4 linked regions of the Drosophila melanogaster genome follow. The gene in region 4 interacts genetically with the main gene of each other region. Each region holds a gene or a part of one and is shown on either strand. Other genes may lie near its edges. The genes, in order: tefu, spn-A, mei-41 and MAGE.

The links.
Region 1: of MAGE (region 4) and tefu, changing one enhances a phenotype caused by changing the other (phenotypic enhancement), as found in Drosophila melanogaster (one study listed by BioGRID).
Region 2: of MAGE (region 4) and spn-A, changing one suppresses a phenotype caused by changing the other (phenotypic suppression), as found in Drosophila melanogaster (one study listed by BioGRID).
Region 3: of MAGE (region 4) and mei-41, changing one enhances a phenotype caused by changing the other (phenotypic enhancement), as found in Drosophila melanogaster (one study listed by BioGRID).

Annotation. Positions count from the first base shown.
Region 1 is NT_033777.3:15,238,624-15,244,134, reverse strand, and holds the start of tefu (telomere fusion), read left to right. Parts: upstream 1-1,898; 5' UTR 1,899-1,914; intron 1,915-1,972; 5' UTR 1,973-1,991; coding exon 1,992-2,192; intron 2,193-2,250; coding exon 2,251-2,359; intron 2,360-2,410; coding exon 2,411-2,596; intron 2,597-2,654; coding exon 2,655-2,875; intron 2,876-2,931; coding exon 2,932-3,276; intron 3,277-3,337; coding exon 3,338-4,441; intron 4,442-4,495; coding exon 4,496-4,673; intron 4,674-4,730; coding exon 4,731-4,900; intron 4,901-4,951; coding exon 4,952-5,078; intron 5,079-5,135; coding exon 5,136-5,503; intron 5,504-5,511. UniProt on the Drosophila melanogaster protein: Serine/threonine-protein kinase which recognizes the substrate consensus sequence [ST]-Q. Required to suppress spontaneous apoptosis of proliferating cells during development, and for their proper differentiation. Required for female fertility.
Region 2 is NT_033777.3:30,053,768-30,058,132, forward strand, and holds spn-A (spindle A), read right to left. Parts: upstream 2,271-4,365; 5' UTR 2,173-2,270; coding exon 2,095-2,172; exon of another isoform or gene 2,032-2,094; coding exon 1,099-2,031; 3' UTR 929-1,098; downstream 1-928. Other genes in the region: Jasper (JIL-1 anchoring and stabilizing protein), read left to right, coding at 1-538; Rpp14b (ribonuclease P/MRP subunit p14 b), read left to right, coding at 2,369-2,400, 2,482-2,788; Rpp14a (ribonuclease P/MRP subunit p14 a), read left to right, coding at 3,236-3,267, 3,373-3,676; CG7950 (uncharacterized protein), read left to right, coding at 3,692-4,168. UniProt on the Drosophila melanogaster protein: Plays an important role in homologous strand exchange, a key step in DNA repair through homologous recombination (HR). Binds to single and double-stranded DNA and exhibits DNA-dependent ATPase activity. Underwinds duplex DNA.
Region 3 is NC_004354.4:16,389,572-16,395,067, reverse strand, and holds the start of mei-41 (meiotic 41), read right to left. Parts: upstream 3,371-5,496; 5' UTR 3,308-3,370; coding exon 3,081-3,307; intron 3,022-3,080; coding exon 810-3,021; intron 753-809; coding exon 459-752; intron 385-458; coding exon 1-384. Other genes in the region: TH1, read left to right, coding at 3,714-3,776, 3,893-4,605, 4,676-5,122, 5,191-5,496. UniProt on the Drosophila melanogaster protein: Serine/threonine protein kinase which activates checkpoint signaling upon genotoxic stresses such as ionizing radiation (IR), ultraviolet light (UV), or DNA replication stalling, thereby acting as a DNA damage sensor.
Region 4 is NT_033777.3:7,153,494-7,157,566, reverse strand, and holds MAGE (MAGE), read left to right. Parts: upstream 1-2,386; 5' UTR 2,387-2,502; coding exon 2,503-3,201; 3' UTR 3,202-3,329; downstream 3,330-4,073. Other genes in the region: Sas-4 (spindle assembly abnormal 4), read right to left, coding at 3,403-4,073.

The sequences.
Region 1 (5,511 bases), 8.1 Mb from region 4:
ACATATTAAATATTGAATGTTTCATTTTGCTTGTGTACTTGGGGGTTGCTGAATACTTTCCCATGACAACCAAGGAAAAAGTAGAACACATTTCGGTTTCCTAGTGAAAACGCCATATTATTTCGCCTTTTTCAGCGAGCATTTCGTTTTCATTGTGCCATTTATGCCGCATGTTTATCTAAAACGGCTTGCCAAAATCGGCGAATCACGAACGGTGACTAATGCCAACCGATTCATGAAAATGGCAAGATCAATGCTGGATCGATGAGAATTATAAATGGCGACCGAGCAGCTGCCACCTTTTTCTGCAAAGTGCGCAAAAAAGAGAAGAAACCGCATGGACAAAGGCGAAAATTCTGGAATGCTAAAAACGCAAACACACGCGCCCTCACAAGCACACACACACATGCATATACTTAAATATATGTAAACCACGCTGCTGAAGCCAGGTCATTTTGGAGGGTGATTCGTATGTGCGAGCGAGGGAGACAACCACTGTGTCCGGGACGGCTTTGCGTGTGTTGGTTTTACCCGCTCACAAACACACGTGCCCGCACTTTGAATGCCGGTTGGCAACGTGTTTTTTTTTAGCTAAGTATATTTAATAAAAGGCCGCATAATGTATAAATTTATGAATGTTAGTTCTATTTATAAACAATGTTTATATGCCTTGACTGTATGTAAGGGAATCCAACATGTTTCTATAGCAGTATAGCATTAAAATTAAATGATCAGACATGCACGCATTTTTGTGTGGTTGTGTGGGGGGGGGGGAAGCCTCACATTTTTCCCAAGCTGGAATATTCCAGCAAAAGAGCAATGGCACTCAAAATAAATTACCAATTACGATGAGTAACTTGGACATTGATTTATTGGAAACAGAAACAATAAAAATCACAAGCAATGTCAAGACCCCGCAACGGATGACGCAAGTTTTCTCTCACACATACTCACTCAACCGAAAGTAGACTGTGACTGCAGTGAGTGGGAAGCGGCACGTTTTCCAGTGGAATATTCCAGATAATCACAATCAAGCATTAGGCATCAATATGCAATTAGTCAGAACTTCCAAAGTTTCTAGAATCTTAATTTGCCTAATTAATAGGCGCTCTATGATGCACCTTTGCAATTATGTATGTAAGTGTGCATCGAAGCGTTACTCACTGGGGTCGAAAGTTCGAGAAACCTTGCCTTCTTTGAGAGTATTGATTAAATAGTAAAGGGGCTACAAAAAACACGTGGTTTGATTTCAAATTATTTTCCGGCAAACTTAATCGAGGTGGTCGCACTTTTTTTAACAACGAAATAAATACTAAAATGTAAATAAACGCTTACCTTGTGTGTTGTTTCTTAGAAAGTACTAAAATATAACCGTTTAATTGCTACTTCACTTTTAATCTGCCGCACCTTCGATCAAACTGGCTGGCGTTTTTTTCTGAATTACACCCGTACAAAATTTGCGAATGCCTTTTATATACAAGCAAAAGTGTTACCAAAGCCATCAACAATTTTAGTACTAAATTCCCAGGGGTGTAACCGCAAAATTCTTGGCCACCCTAATAAGCGCTTCACACAGAAGTCCAGAAATGTTGACGCAGAACGTTCACACCGAAACTGTAAAGTCGTAGAAATTGGCTAATATGTAGTAGAAGCGCTGAACGTAGCTTGTTACTTTAAAAACCACATTTCCTATTCCTTTCTTAATGAATATAATTCATAATATAGGAATAATTAATGAAGGAACAGTGGAATATGGAACATGGGATTTTTTTATTTATAAATCTTTCGTTATATAAGGTTATTCTAGTTCTCCATCGGCACTTATTTGACGCACACGGCTGCCCAGCCATTTAACAACAGTGCTGTTCTTATTGATCGTGGTATTTTTTGGCGCTCTGGCAGAGGTCACTCTAAGTACATTTTGAGAGATCATTTTATGTTTAGTTTAATAATTAATACAACATTACAACAGGTTATGCCGGGCAGCCAGGATGAGTGCACTTCTAAACGAAATCCAGCGGATACTCGGGGACCTTCAGTCGGGGAAGGCAGCCAGCCGAAACAAGGGCATCCAACAGCTGGATGAAAAGCTCTCAAGTTGCCGAGAGGATCTGGATAAGTTGTTTCTTAGCAAAACTTCGGATATATCCTGGACCACAATCTTTGAAGCGTCGAAGGAGGCTCTCTTTAAGGTTCCTAGCCATTATCGTTAAACAATCAGTTCCATTTTAATTGTTAACCTAATGATAGCAAGCTGGAAATCTGGAGGATGTCAACGAGAAAGTATTCAAAACGCTGGCGGGAAAAAACTACTTGTACGATAATGTCCTCGAGAAGATCACACAATTCAACTTGGAAGGTAACTCCTAAACACTTAAACACGTTATTAAAGCTAACCTGTGATTTCCAGCGGGGTCGCAGACCTCCGGAAATGGGCATTTCCTGGCCAAAACAAGCATATTTAGTGCATTCGAGGATGGCATCAAGATGCGAGTGGTAGTCAAGTATTTTGGCGACCGCATTCTGAGCCTGCTGGAAAAGGGCATTTACTCATCGGTCAGCTATGTGCGCGACCTTAAAATTAACGAATACAGTAGTAAGTTACTTTCTGGCCCAAAAGAGACTCTTTTTTTTAATTTGATGATGTATTACAGGGATTCTCTCCTATCTTTTTGAACTGAATGTCGATATGGACGAGGTCTTGCGAACCAGAATACTGAAATGCATCACAAGAACCGTCAGTTTGGCCAAGGACCGGGTTCAGCTGCACGTGGATCTAGTGGAATATCTGCCGGAGCTCAGCAGCTTTGCGCTCTCCGCTTTTGGAGCCAGAAAAACTGAGATTGTTCGCGTCTACTTAATATTTGCATCAGAGGTAGGACTCTTATTATATCTTTAGATAATGTTAAAAACTTTGCAACAATCTTTCAGCTTGCTGTCAACTACAATCACCAATTGAACGTGCACATGCAGGAGATTCTACCTAAACTATGCGAGTATCATGACGAGGATGCGTTCCGGGACGACACCAGAAATCTGTTCTTTCAGTGCGTTTCAAAGTCGCTCCATTCAATGTATCTCAAAATGGATATGTGTGACTTTAATACACTCGGTGTGCCTGTTCATGAAAAGTGGCCGCAAACTTTACTGCGGCTGAAAACTATTGTCAATGTGGAGATCCGAAAGAATTCCTGGGCTCGCTGCAAGAACGCACTACTGAGCAATAATAAATTTTCTGACCCCTTCATCAAGATGTCTGCCCTGGCTATGTATATAGTACGTCGCATAAGCTAGTAATATTTAATATATTTAATTTTAATTATATTATTATTTGCAGGTGCTTTGGCACTTGGAGACGAAAAAGGCTGATGAAAATGGGGAAGGCGATGCGCCGAAAAAGATCCCGAAGCCTGCAGATAAAATGGAAACTATATTTAGTCTGATCGACAAAAAGGAAAACACCTTTAACGACGTCTGGCTTGCGATATTCACTGAGATACTTCAGCTGAGTAGCGTGATCCTAAATGTGGCCAACTACCAAATGGCGCTAACCACCGTGGCGGAAATAATGCAAATGTACGGCAATGCGAAAAATCTCCGGAACCTTCGGTTATGCCTGGCTCATCTTTTGACTAAAGAACAGGAGCTTTTGCACTCTAAATCTATTCGGGAGGATTTTCTGGGTGAGCTTTGGAGTCAAATGGCAAACCAGCTCATATCAGAGACAACAACAAACAGTGAGGAGATCAAGGAGAAGCAATTGGTGCTGCAGATGCTGATCAGACACAATAAACTAAATCAAAAGTTGTCCAGCACGCTGCTTAACAATATTATCTCGAATGAAATGCTAAAGCGCAACGAATGCTTAGCGACGATTCGAGAGATCTTCATCCATGCTGATAAATGTGGTCAAGATAAGGCGTCCGCTGACTTAGAACCCATCATAGCTTGGGCATACGGAAGTGCGGATAGATTCATCGCCGCTCAGATGATACACAATATAGACAGTATTGATGCCCAGTTGCAGGCGGATACTTTTGCAATCAGCATTATAAATTTTTTGGATGTCCAGCAATTGCGACAGATCTCTCAATCAGAACACATTGTTCCTTCCACCGAACGCAATCTTTTGGCCTACAAGTACAACGAACAGCTTATTTGCTTTGACAAGGACTACGCCACTCCTTTTGAGTCAATCACTCACATTCAGAGCGAAACAAAGAATTGTTTGATTCAATCCAATTATGATTGCCTAATGCGAGGCCTTAACTTTGAGATCGCGAAGGAGAACAAACCGGCGGCAATAATAAAAAACCTGAATAGTCTATTAAAGTTGATCTGCACAATGGAAAGGCTTTTGCATTACAAGGTTTTCGATGCAGATACCTATACTGGCTGTCCACTTATAAAAAGAATTGGACTATATCTCAGCCACATTGAGGTGGGTGCCAAATGAATAATCTTTCAAAAACTCGTTTTCTAATACCCATTTCAGTTCCAGCTCAAGGCGAACGGAGCTGAGATTTTAGATAAGAGCGATTTACCAGAGATTTTACGTCTGGAAATCTATGTACTTGATGTATTCAGGACGAATTTAGTCTTACTCGATTATTTGGAAAGGCAACCCATTGAAATGTTGGTGGAATTTGTTGGCGCTGCTCTCAAGTTGCATTGTAATGTAGTTTTCAATTAACGTATCGCTTTAATAATTGAAGAGTGGAATATTTTAGCCATGCAGAGGGAGCGATCTGTAGATGCAGATCATGGAACAATAACGCGTCTGTGCCTTAATATTTTGGCTGGTCTTTGTGCGTACAATTCGCACCGGGATGAAGCATTCGAGCACATAGTAAAGGTAACGATGCGTTGGCATCCACAGGATGTGCTTATTGTGACCAAGGTAGGAGTTATATCGTAACCAAAACAGAAATAATTTTGAAATCTCTTTAAGATGTTATGCAGCTGCCAAACGATTTCTGAAGCATCCAGCTCTTGGTTAGTGAGCAAATTGAAGACGCTTTTCCAGCAGCATCATCAGGATGCGGAATTGATGGACAAAGTGGTTCAACATATGCCCAGTGAGCTTATATATAATAGAACAATAAACACAGTGCAATCAATTCATTTCATTGCAGCCATTTTTTACTTCGTAAGGCACAAAGAAAATCATTTGGACGACATGCTTATGGCCCTTAATTCCCTTTTAAGGATTGCCATTAAGAAGTCGTACACATCGAATTTAACAGCGAAAATTGTACGCTGCGTGGGATTGATTGCTCAGCGTTGTCCGGACATTTACCTTCTAGAGAACTTTGCTGTGATATGCAAGTCCACTGCGAAATTCATCACCATGCCCACGTTAGAAGTGCGCTTTGCCACACTCTTCACATTCACCATCCTGCTGGAATCGAATTGCGTCACTAGCGATGCCATTGGTCATTCTCGGACGCACTGGGACTTCTGCCAGGAGCTGTACGAGAGCATTGAGTTTAAGAAACTGACGGTAAGCAT
Region 2 (4,365 bases), about 23 Mb from region 4:
AATACCCAAGCAGGAGGCTTTGCGATTCATCGAGGAGCTCATTGAGCACGAGGATGCCCTCTTCATGGAGCGAGACTTCATCCAACTTTCCCAGCAGCTGCGCGAATGTTTGGGCCTGCGGCGCGCCAATGTGGGCAAATGCCTGGAGATCCTCGAGCAGTTCAAGGAGGTGGAGTTCACCAAGTTGATGCTGCTGCGCAATCCGGAGTGCGTGGACATAATGCGCCGACTTCGCCGGTATGTGGGCAATCTGGAGCTCTGGAAAATGGACCTGTCCGACGAGGTGGAGTTCAAGGAGAGGGCGCAGACCATACGCAAGGTCTCCTCTGGCATATACGATGGCTTCAAGAGTCTCTTCAATCCGGAGCCCGAGAGCGAGGACAACTTTTGGATCGACTTCTGCGAAAAGGTAAAAATCTACAAGACCTATACGAAAAATATCAACGAAAACCTTCGCGTCGGGATGAACGAGCGCGGATATAATAGCCTGGTTTTGGCCAAGGAGGCCGCCGCTTCAGCCGGATCGGCTCCACAGTAAATGATCGAGGACCAGTTCTGCTGGACCAATTACATGATAAGGTAGGATGGGAAACCGCAAACCGCTGAGTTGAAACACATCTTCAAGAATCCTCTTTCTTGCAGTTACTCGTAAGCGTTACAAACCAGGCAACTTAAAGACCGTGCTTTGGATGACAAAGTTTTGATGAGCCAAGTGGGCTATGCTTAATTCTAGGTTAAAAATTCAGCTAAATTCCTTAATTCTGTTTGCCTGCCAGGTGCATGTCGTGTTACGCTGCGCTGATGGGGCTTTTCCTGCTGCATCCGCTTATTACCAGACTAAAAAAAAGGTTTTTGCTTCGAAACCCCTAAATATTTTCTAAGTTTGTAGATGATTTGAATAATATTGAATTAAATATAGATGGTACATACAATTCGCAACGGCTGTTTTATTTCGTCGTTATCCTAAACATTCTAAGTAAACATTAAAACAAAAAAAAAAACAATCTACGAAGTTTAATTCTTAGTCTAGGGATAAGTAATCATTAGAAAGTTAGGGAGCTCTATTCCTAGCATTAATTAACCTATAAGTGAGCACAATTAGCTCTCCCTGGCGTCTCCTATTCCATCCGGCAGAATGGCGAACATGGCCTCCGATTCCGGCAAACAGGGCGAGTCGTAGATCTTGCAGATGCGGGTTTCGCCTTTACCCTTGCGCAGATACAGCCGCGTGGTTGAGGAGTGGGCCATGATGTGCCCGCCAATGGGCTTCTTGGCATCAAACATGCCGGGTGCGCCGTCCAGCGAGGCAGTAACCTGGTTAGTAATTACCACAGCCACTCCGAACTCATCGGCCAGGCGTTGAAGCATGCGCAGAAATAAGCCCAAATGGTTTTGCCTGGCGGCCAGCTCCCCGCGACCAATATAATCGGATCTGTAGAGCGCCATGGCACTGTCCACAATCAGCAAAGCGTATCTGGACTCAAAGAGCATGCCCGCCGCCATCTGGATGAGCTTGGTCTGCTGATCTGAGTTGTGGGCACGGGTGAAGGCCACATTGTCCAGCACCTCGGATTCATTCAGTTTGTACCTTTGCGCGATGGCAGCCAAACGCTCCGGACGGAAGGTGTTCTCCGTGTCGATGTACATGCACTTGCCCTCGCCGCCCTTCTGGCTGATGGGCAGCTGGCAGGTTACTGCCAGAGTGTGGCACAATTGGGTCTTTCCGCAGCGGAACTCGCCAAAGATCTCGGTAATGGATCCCGTCTCAATGCCGCCGCCCAGCAGTTTATCCAGCTCCTTGGAGCCCGTGCTCAGCTGCACGACATCGGCACGCATTTGATAGAAGGTGCGAGCACTAAGGAAGCCCAGAGGCACCAGTTTGTTAGCCTCCGTGATGATCTGCTCCACCTTGCCGCCGCCCAAGCCGGGAATGGCCATCAGTTGCTTCTTGGTGGCATTGGCCACCGACTCCACGGTGTGCAGACTGGCCTGCTGGAGCAGCTTGATGTCCTTGGCCGTGATGCTGCCGCCCTAGGAGGAGGATATCGTAGGGAATGCCCATAATAATCCTGGTCGAGATCGCAGCCTACTCACTATTAACTTAGTCACGCTGAGTGGACCTTCTTCCTCCTCCTCTTCCTGCTGTGCCTGAACATTCGTTAGCTTCTCCATTTGACAGTTTCGAAGTTAAATTTGACTATTTGTTGTTTCGAGTTTCGTTATTTAAATTGCACGTCTTGCGTGAGAGAATTTCGACAAAGACTGCGCGGCGCGCAATTCACTGCAAAATCAGTTTGCCAATCGCCCCGAACGCACAAAACTCTATCACTACAGAGGATCCCGCTTAAAAGGAACGCGCAAGATCACCATGGCGAACTATTACTATTTCGACATCAAACTGTGAGTAGAATGATGTTCTGCGGTCATTAATATAAACTTGGTTGTTATTAAATTCAGTAAATATATTCATTTATTTAATAGTAAACTTCGGGATCCGACTGCAGTTGCTTTGACCCCATCTCTGTTTCGAAGCTGCGTTCTTGACGCCCTGGACAGTTTCTTCTGCGAGGAGAAACCCACACTGGAGATCGTGAAGTTCTGCGCCCAGCAACATCGTGTTATCTTTCGAGTGCCAGAGCAACTGCACGACATGACCCGCATATCCATTGAGCTCATCGGTCACTACCAGCAGATACCCTGTCATTTTGAGATCTTGGAAACATCCAAATCATCGCTGGACTTTGAGAAGAGCATTGAAAAGACTGTCGCGGTTGTGTCCGATGATTAGGACTAGCGAATTGTAATACTCAGTGTAATATACATTATAACCGTCATGAAGAATTTGAATTTGAATCCTAACTGATTTTACTGTGATCTGATTTTTTTGTCATTCACAACGAACTGAAATGATTTCTGTGATGGCTACTAAATGAGATTAAAAAGCGGAAAAACCCCATAAACTTGTAACCATTTTAATAAAATTGCATTTAAGTAGTTCCAATAACAATTTAAATGTTTTAATAAATGGCTATAATTTTAGCTATTTTATAACTACTCATGTCCGTTGTGAGCCGAGCTGGCATCTCTGGCGGCGCACAGCTGTTTGAGAAGCAGAAAGAAACAGCAAAAAAGGGGAGTAATTACATAAAAAAAACACACTGACCGGCAACTTTTGGACGACTTTTCCCGAAGATTCCGCCAAAAAAAGAGGGGCACTGGCACTTGCACCCAAAGCATGAGTGGTTACCAATATCTGGACGTGAAGATGTGAGTTCCGGGCACTCAGCCCCGCTCCTTAAAGCCCCGTATTTCCCACGTGCGCACGTGCATCATGCAAATATAATTAAGATAATTCACGTTTTTAATCGCCAGAAAACTCCGTGATCCAGACTCCGTGACTCTGACGCCCGTATTCTTCTGTGGCTGCATCCATAGCTCCTTGGCTAGTATTTTTGGCGAAATAGGTGGCCAGACCATACTGGAAATTGTGAAATTTAGTTCCAGCCAAAAACGCTCCATTCTCCGGGTGCCCGAGAACGTCCTGGATCGCGTTCGCGTAGCTATAGCCCTAATAGGATACTACCAGGAGGTGCCCTGCCATTTTCAGGTGCTCAGCACATCCCGAAAGCCCTTGGATTTTGAGGAATCCCCCGAGGAGTTTGTAGCATTTAACTAGCATTACCGCATCAGGATGTCATTCTCTTACTGCAAGGAGTACGGCAAGGACAAGGTGATTTTTGTGACCAAGGAGGACCATGCCACGCCCAGCACCATCGAGCTGCCGCCGCCGGAAAAGCCGGAGGGCGTGATCACCAAGGACGGCAAGATCAACTGGAGTTGTCCCTGCCTCGGCGGCATGGCCACCGGTCCCTGTGGCGTCGATTTCCGTGAGGCATTTTCCTGCTTCCAGAACAGCACCGCCGATCCCAAGGGATCGGACTGCTACGATGCCTTCACCAAGATGCGCGACTGTTTCCAGAAGTACCCCACCGTGTACAACAAATCTGGCGGTGATGACGACGACGATGATGGCTTGAGCGAGGCCTTGGACACGGATGCCGGTTCAGTTGGTGGCCAGAACGCGGATCCGCTGGCGGATGTGGGCAACAACGGAGGCGGCGATGAGCTGGTGTCCCCCAATAGCAGTTCAGTGGTGCCCAAGGCTTAGGTGGGAGTACATAAGATAAGAGCTAGGTGTGACTTCGTACAAAATAAATAAAACTTGTCATTAACTTCAATCCATCCCCACACTATCGATCGTGACTGGGAAACATTTATCAGCCAGATAGTCTGGAATTAACAGAGATATTGTTGAAACAGCATAGTGCTTATTTCAGAAATAAAAGATACTCGTTTTCTCAATTA
Region 3 (5,496 bases), on a different chromosome or scaffold from region 4:
AACATGCAGAAATATGTGCCAAATCTTTAGGCAAATTCGCTGGAGACGAGGCTCCTGCAATGTGTGAACGAAACTCAGCATGGCAATGATTTTGAAGCGAAACTGGGTGACATGCTGGGAGCCCACAAATCGCATAATCTGGCCCAAACTGTACAAAGTCTCCTCCTTCAATGGCTTCTCAAAAGACGGTTCACTTAGGCAGCTCTCGAAGTAGGTGATCACACCGAGGAAACGCTCAGCAATGAAATTCGCAAACTCTGCATTCGCCGTTTGACTTGACAACTCCTCCAAGGAACCGATTGATAACTGCAAGAGGCTTTGAAAGGATCGCATCACGAATGTGGGGTTTCGGTTGAAATATATAAGCAACTCGGCCACCGTTTGCTACAAGTGATAACCAAATCAAATAAAATAAAATAAAAGATAAAATAATAAAATATAAATTAACTTCTGCCCACCTTGACATCCGCATTCATTAGCTGTTGCAGGCTGGACTGGGTGCAACTGACCACCAGCTCGATGCAACTATTGGCCAACTCCGGTTCCTCGGTCAGGAAGACGTGTGTGTAGATCCGCAGGAACGAGATGGAGAACAAGGTGCCAATGTGTTTCTGCATTTGTTTGGCTATCAATACCAAAACTCCCTTGCAAAGCGGATTCACGATGCAATGCGGCAGGACCATGGCAGTCAGAAGGCGATGATACTTGCAGGTGAACTCCTGAACGCACGTGAATCCCAACATTTTCGTAAGCTGCAAACAGACCGGTCAAATTTTGGGAAGTGAAGAAAAGTTCGTCTATTTACGCACCGCTCGGAGGGATCGGGTGAAGCGTACGCCATCCAAAAGATAAACGTTCAAAGCCAGGCGAACGGTGAGGTCGAGAGCATCTCGCTTGTACCAGTTCCACAGATGAATCGTCTGCAGACCCTGGCTGGCACACATCTCGGTGGCCGCCAGCACAGCTTCTTGCGCCACCAGTGAGCGAGTGTGCACCAGAAAGAAGAATGTCATTTTGAACCAGTGAAAGAGCCAGATTTCATTATCCTCCATGTGCGCAATGGCGGTCAGTACGTTGAGCATACTTCTTTGCTGCAGCACATTTTGCTCTGTCAGTGGCTTTGCTAGCATTGCTTTTATAGCAGCTAGAACAAGATTGGCTAATTGCTCCAAGAATTCTGGCGAACGCACACGCATCGCAGAGACCAGCTGGCCGATAACCTTAACGCTAACCTTTTGCAGTGCCTCCGTTTCTCTTAGCAGGCCAAGAATCACATTGGGTTCAAAGCACAGAAGGTCCAGATGCTGGGCAATACATTCAAAATCGGGATAAAACAATAAATCATTTGCTATCATTTCGAGGTTGGTGCTTGAAAAGTCTGGACATGGCAGCTGTTGCTTGCATTTTCCGAGGTAAATACCTGGCAGTTTCTTTGGCAGTGGCCTGCATTTCGGGCAGTATAGCTCAATGCGATCTTTGACTTTAAAGACACTCAATTTACCTGGCTGGGAGCAGAGCAATAGGCGTATAACTTGAGCGCGGCCACTACGATTGTTAATGGTGGGCAGAGCTTTCATCAGTTGCTCCGGCTTTATGAAACCCGATATGTACAACTGCGGAAGGTTGCTACAGAATATCTCCTGTGTCTCCTCGGATTGAAATAGCCTCATGTACTGCTGGGCATAGAAGCTTTGCATTTGGGTATGAACACTAGAAGGTGTCTCCAAGCGAATGGCGCAAAGGTAGGACAGCTTCAAATGTCGCTGAAGAATGGCCAGCAGCTGGTGTTGCGTTTGAGTCTTTAAAAAGTGCCGGATGAAGGTGATTTGCATCAAAAGGGAGCAGATTTCCAAGTGTATGTGTCTTCGGTCTGCGGAACACTTTGATTCCAGCTCAACCAGCTGCATTGAAAGGTTATTCCAATTGGTATCCGCAACCTTTATGATTTCACACTGCAGCGGTAACATGGCCAGAACTGAGGAATCGATGTGACCTTCGTGCTCAGCTATTTTATGCTGACTCTGTGACAGAATTAGTTTCTCCAGCTGCTTGAAGCCTCGTAAAATAGCAATCAGTTTCTGCCAATCCTTCGACAATACTTCTTCCTTCTTCAAGATTTCAACGAGACTTTGGGTAAGCACTTGGACCACTCCTGAGCGCATCTCAGTCTGTTTCAAGCCCATTAGCGCCAATATGGGCACCAAATGTGTGGGGTGGCAGTGCCAATGGCTTAACATAAGCTGCTGCAAGTGCACCAGTTGCTCCAATGGTACAACCGAATGCTCTAGCTGGCCTTGAATATAGGAACTTAGGGTCTCCAGCAGTCCATCGTCCAATTCAATGGCTGTCGGCAAACTAAGGATCTCGTTCAAAAGCAGGTAGCCAAGATGGTGGGCTGGACGTGCACGCATATGCAGAACTTCTAGCAGTAGCTTTGTTGTTATATTGAGCCGTTTTAGCTCCTGGCGCGTCATACATCCCATGTCCAGCCACTTGGCTACTGCCGACCACATGATTGCCGTCGCCTCCAACGTTAATTGCGCATAATGTCCAACGTCCGGATTTGTTATCCAGCTGCTGGCCGACTGTGATCGTAGGACATTGTGACAGTAATTCAAGCTGGCCAGTTTTGTGTCCATGTCGCACTCCTTGAGGATTAGCAGAGCCTGATGAAGGCTGCCCGAGAAGATGTCGCCGTGCGTGGCGTATCCAATGTGATGGGCATGCTGGAGGACCTCCAGCAGGCTCTTGGCATACATGTCGGCTTGCTCAAGGGGCACCTTGATGTCCTCGATAGCGCAGTGCGGATCGAACTCCTGCAGGCATTCCACATCGCATCGGAATATTCTTACAGTTATGGCGGGTTTTCGCTCATTACTCAATTGGCCGAGGTCCAGGGAACTTAGCTGAAGGTGCGTCTCCTCAATGGCTTCCACATAGGCCAGTACAAGGCGTTCAAAAAGCTTAGGATGATTGGAACAGCAGGAGCTCAGTATTTTCCTTTGAAGATTGATGCACTCGCTGCAGCAGAAAAACGGTGTGTCATAAGTTTGGAGTCCAATGCTTGTGGCTCATCTTACCTGCTATCTGGAGATTCACTAAGGCACTTGGCCAGCTTGTTGAGCAGCCAGAGTAGGAATGTGTCCTGGAATTTGTTGTGCAGCTCCCGCACCAACGAACAGCTTATCAGACTCGGCTCCTGGCACAATATGTCTTCTATAACGCTGTACACGCCGGAAAAGTTGCTTACGTTCCGGTTTACGTGGTTGTAAAGCAACTTCCACATATCCTTCCGTTGTGTCGACATTTTGCCAAGTTTATTTAAAACTCGCAAAAACGCGACCTTTGTTTACGAAAGCCGGCATTCGCCGCACTTGTGGCTATCGATATGTTTGGCAGCTTCTTCTTCTTTTTCTTGAATAACAGCCACGTTCCAACTGCGATTTTACATATATTAATTTAAAAAAAAATTAGTTAATATATGTTTACATTACCGCGTTTTACACTTATTGACAATTTTCTTTTTCTCCTCAAATTTAAGATTTACATTGCATAATATGAAATTAACAGAAGAGTTTGCTAAGTGTAAACGGCGCATAACCCGCGTAGGTGTGCGCGTCGTGGTTAACAATTTACAGTCACACTAAAAATGCATAGTTAATCAAAATAAGAAAAATATTTTTATGTTATTGTAAATAAGTTTTTGAGAAAAAATGGAAGTGGAATACGACGACTCTGGTTGGCAGGGCCGCGCCAAAGGACAAACCAATCCGGAGGTAATTGAGTATAGAGCGTGTACGGCGTGGCAGGCAATCCCGGCAATTTGATGACGCTACTAGATAAACCATAAAAAATAACAACTAAACATCATGTTATCCCATCCCAATCGAAGGAAACGCTTGAGGACAATCCGCAGAAGACGATACAGGAATGCCTGGAGAAGTTCCTCACACCGGACTACATCATGGAGCCGGGGATATTTACGCAGCTGAAGCGCTACTTTCAGTCGGGCGGATCTCCGGAGGAGGTTATATCGATGCTATCCGAGAACTACAAGGCGGTGGCCCAGATGGCCAACCTGCTTGCGGAATGGCTCATCCTGGCGGGCGTCAAGGTTACCGAAGTCCAGGCCATGGTGGAGAATCATCTCAAGGAAATGATTCTTAAGTCCTTCGATCCCAAGAAGGCGGACACCATATTCACGGAGGAGGGTGAGACGCCCGACTGGCTAACCGAGATGATCGACCACTATACGTGGCGCTCGCTAATCTACCGACTGGCCGAAGAATATCCCGATTGTCTAATGCTGAACTTTACAATCAAGTTGATCTCGGACGCGGGCTTCCAGAGCGAGATCACTTCCATTTCGACAGCGGCACAGCAGATTGAGGTTTTCTCGCGGGTTCTAAAGACCTCGATCGTCAAATTTCTAAACAATCCGGATGATGTGCACGGTGCCATTCAGGAGTGCGCACGAATGGTCTGCCATGGCCAGCACACTTACGTATACTCCCAGGTGCTCATCCAGGTCCTCAGCCAGGAGCAGAAGGGTGGGTTCAACATGAAGCGGCTCTCTCAGGAAATTATTAAATACGCCCTGCAGAAGTATGAAAATAACTGACGATTCCACATAGTTAGTCATAACATAAATCCTTTCTTTTGCTTCATTGTTTAGCAATCAAAATGTAACGCCTATTACAATGGCCCTGAATGGTTCGGCAGTCTATCCGCAAGCATGTCAAGCCCTAACTTCCATGCTCACCCGCAATACACTGAATCCCGCCGATATCACCGTGCTGTTTCGCAACTACTCCGGTTCCGATCCACCGCCCATCGACTTGATACGAAACCCCCAGTTTCTGGAGCTACTGGTAGACGCGCTCTTTCGTTCCGGCGTTAAAATCAATCCCGAGCACAAACCGAAGTATATGTTTCTGCTAGCCTACGCGTCCGCGGTCATCGACCAGCCGGCCAAAAAGCGACCAATGACTGAGCGCATGCTAAACAAGGAGGAGCTAAAGAGCACCATTCAGGCTATCGAAAAGGCACACACCATTTGTAATGTGGACCAGGGATCCACCGAGCTAATCGCCGAGTTGCAAACGCTGTATAATTGCATCAAGTAAGGCGACCGATGTATATCAAAAAATTATTGGTTTCCCTTAACGTAAAGATCTCTTTTAATCGTAGATATCCTGTGGTGGGAGTTGGTGTCATTCGGTGGATCGAAAACGTTGTTATGGAGCCTTCATATTTCAAGCTCTCCACAGACAGCTGTCCCACGCACTTGGCGGTACTGGATGAAGTGGCCGCCGTTCATCCCACCTTGCAGCAGCAGATCCTCTTCCTGCTCATCCGCTTATTTGAGTCCAAGCAGGATGAGCTGGAGATTCTCGTTCAATTGGAAATGAAGAAAATGATCCTGGACCGAATGGTTAACCTGCTGACGCGCGGCTGCGTTGTACCCGTTCTCAGATACATAAAGCAGTGCTGCGC
Region 4 (4,073 bases):
TCAAATAGCAGCTTCGTTTTGATCCATGGCCTGAGTTTAGCAATTTGACCTCTTAATTAAGCCGAACAAGTTTGTTGTCCAAGTCTTTTATTTGAGAACTAAACTCTACTCGCTCACAGCTACGTTCAGCTTAGCGCGCTTTTGTAATTGTGAGCCCCATTGACATTTAGCGGATAGCTGAGTCGTTCTGAGAGAGGAGCAAATCATAATCTAATCGAAGTGCCGGTCCCGGGCCAAAGCTGATCAGCCAGATCGACCACGAGCGGCAGCTGCTGGACAAGAATGCCGAACCGCTCCGCTGAAGGCAGTCCACTTTTAAGAACGGCACGCAACCAGACTGAGGCAACAACAGCCGGCTATTGTTTCTATATTCTCGATTCCATTCCATTGCGACCGAAACGGGGTTATCTGCTCACTGAAAGAGGTTGTAAGAACAAACTTATATACTTGTATAGGGAAATAAAACATTCGATTTGCTGAAGAATAAATTAAAATATTTTTAGCCAGAGAAGCTGGGAACATGAAAAGAAGGAATCTTTAAAAAACTACAAGATAAGAGATTTATGTTTGCGAAACTATGCCATTTATCAGCGTTTTTCTTATCAAAACGAAAGACTAATTTGAATGTTTGCAACACATTTTTTTAAAATACAACTTTAAGAATATCAAAAGATGTATTTATATTAGCGTAATTTCCATTTAATGGTGCCTTCCATTTTTCTGAATTTTAAATGTAATATTATTTATTCATTTTTCACTTTTTATTTTCATTCATATTATTTTCGCAATAAAAAACTTTTAGCTCCTTAAGATATTCGAAATGATAAATCTCAAAGAGCAAGCCACTTAAAAACAATTAATCCCGATCATATAGAGCATTAAACTCCACACATTCCTCATTCCAATATTGGCTTTCTTTTTTGTGCACACATTTTTTGTCTGCTGCCTCTTGTGATTCTGTTATTAATTTATTAATAGTTTTTGCCACCGCGGTGAGCTGCGAAACCCGTTGTCGTTACTCTATTGGCTGGTCATGGGATTTTGTTTATCATGAAAATTCTAAATGGCATGCTCATGTCATTTGCTAATTTTTAATGGCCTTTAAAAGCCAGGCTGCATAGCAAGTTTGCCGCTCACGTCGCTCAGCAAAGACCTTGACTTTCTTTTTAGTAAATGAGACATTTCTCCAACACCGTCTGGCTACAATTAGCCGGCCATAAAAAAACTTTAGGGCTGGAGTTGACAAACTCCAACGTTACAATGCGCATTTTGAAAGCAAAACTGTTTGCTTGTGTGTAGAAAGTCTAACGCTTCGCGTTGACAGTGCGTTTTGTTGACTCACTCAGCCGCCGTTTTGCGAGATTTACAATCTTGAGTAATTTCACTTGCTGGGATGCAAATTTCGGTGCTATTACAGTCACTGGTCAAGCAGAATCAATTGCAGAACGCGGCGGATATCCATTTCAGGCGGCCACAAAGGCTGTCTTTAACAATCTGAACTCCGATATTCTGCTTTTGTTCAAGCCGGAACAATGGCGAATCAATTAAAGCTTGCCGCCTGGCCAGGCAACTTTTGTCTGCCTTCCGCCTGTACATTTATCACTTATGGATCGCGCACTTTGCGCAGACGCAGGTAACTAGTTTTCACCGCAGAGATACAGCCACCGCCATCGCCACCTAAAACACACATTTCAAGGCAATAAAATATGTTTGGCCATGTAATTCTGCAGCGTCTGGAAGTGCACTTCGGCGCGTGTGTCTGCTGCGCGAAATGCATTTCCATTTCCATTTCGTTTTGTTTGACTCGGTCTCTGTTTATTTTGAGTCTCCGTGGGGAATGTTGACCGTGCATGTCATTCGCGTTTAGTTTTGAAAGTTGTTTGCTTCCTGCTGCTGCACGTCGCGTCGTTTTGGCCATTTTAATTAAAAACACATCACCTCCTGAGGCTGCTATGGCAATTTTTATGCAAAGTGCGTTACCCACTGCTTAGCTGCTCGATAAATGCTCGAATGATATTTATTTAGCAAACGTTTCGCTGCAGCGCAAATTTCATACTGATTGTTAAATGTAACAGAGGAAAAAGGCGGCAGCAAAAGGAAATCAATCAATACAAACCCACAAGAGTAGGTACTTCAGCGGCTCTTGGCCCAGTTTGTGCGTTCAAACGAGACCAATGAGTGGCCATTTGCACTTGAAAGTGCATATAATAGGCAACCAAGTGAAAAAGGATGCGAGAGAAAAGGATTGGTAAAGACCATAATAAGGGTTCGAAGATTTTATTGTCAGAGTAATGATTTTGAATTAATATAATTTGCGCGCCCATTTGGTATTTTAATACTGAAAACAGGTCTCGTTTTTTAACTCTGATCTGGCAACGCCAGGCTTGTACACTTTCAAAAGTGCGAAAAAAAACATATGTTCGCTGCATTCTTGTTGAGTTGCATTTTAAATAATCAAATAAATTTGATAAATTGGGAGCTTGTTAATCAAATTAACTCGAAATGGCTAGCACTTCTCGCGCAGCTAGGAGCCAGAATGCCATCCCCTCGCAGGAAGCGCAACAACCCGTCGATGTGGTCGACGCCAAGGTTCGCGCCATTCTAAACTACATCCTTGATCATACCGCCCAGAAGATTCCCATAAAGGACAAGGATTTGATAGCGGTGGCTGGGGACAAGAGCGAACTGAAGAAACGCCTGCCGCTGGTCACTAATCTGCTGGCCGAAACATTCGGTATAATACTAACCCCACTGGACGCGACCACCAAGACGTTCATCTGCACTGCGGAGGAGCCGGTGGCCTCCATTCACGAGCTGACGCCGGCTCAACGGCCGCAGTTCACGCTGCTGTATATTATTCTCATGTACATCTTCCTGCGCGGCAACCGCATCGAGGACTCGAAACTGTACGTTATGCTGGAGATGCTCAACATCTATCCAGACGAAGAACATGGCTACTTCGGCCCCAATCTGCGCAAACAGATCGAGGAGACGTTTGTGAAGCAACAATATCTGAAGCGGGAACGCTCACAGCTAAGTGCTTACGATGATTCCAAGACTTTCTTCCTTTGGGGACCACGTGCCAAGGCGGAGTTCACATTCGAGCAAATGGTGCAATTCGCCTCCAAGCTGCTCAATCAGCATCCCAAGGTCTTCGGCCATCACCTCTCCATGGCCCAAGAAGGAGTAAACGCGGAGTAGAATACCATTCTATGAATAATTTACTACATTTGATCTAACAAATTGAAAACCAAACAATATATATAATAATCTAAAATAGAGCCAATTTCCCATTTATCAGCAAGAAAAGAATATTACGATGATCTTTTAAAAATAGCACGTCTTTTCTATTTATCTAAAACTTAAGTTAATTTACTTAACAACGGAAGCAGAGACCCGACTCTAATACTTGGCATAGTCTGTGTCCATTATGAGCTTGCCATCCTTGTCCTTCAAACGAACGCGGCCGTTGGAGTAGCGCGTCTCTTGGCTGCCATCCGGATACACTAGCTTCACAGTGCCGTCCGGATACTCCCTTCGCTTGTTTAGTTTGGTGTGAATCTCCTTTTGGCCATTGGGCAGATTGAGAATCTTGTCACCATTCCGGAGCTGCACTAGATGGGTTCCATCCGCATAACGCCACTCCTCCAGTTTCTCCGTATCGCTGGGATCCACAATCTTAATGCTGTTGTTGGGAAAGTGAATCTCAACAGTGCCATCCTTGCGGCGATGTTCCGTCTGCCCGTTGGGAAACTCGAGTATTTCCAAGCCATCTAGGTAGGAGGTGTGCCAAGTGTTGGTCTCAGCGTAGTAATACTTCACTGTGCCTTCCCTGATGTTAGTTTCCTTGATATCCTTGTTGAAATAGAGCATGCGCAAGTTCATGCCATCGGCGCTTATCTTTTTTAGATTGCCGTTTGGGTACCAAATGTCCTTGCTCCCATCCGCATTCGTAATCTCCCGCTTAAAGTCACTGCTGGAGTTGGCAGCCGGTGGGGGGGTAGCAGCTTTCGGAGCGGTCACGGGCGGCTGAACTTCCTCCGATTCCACAGAACTACTAGAGGCGTAGCTCT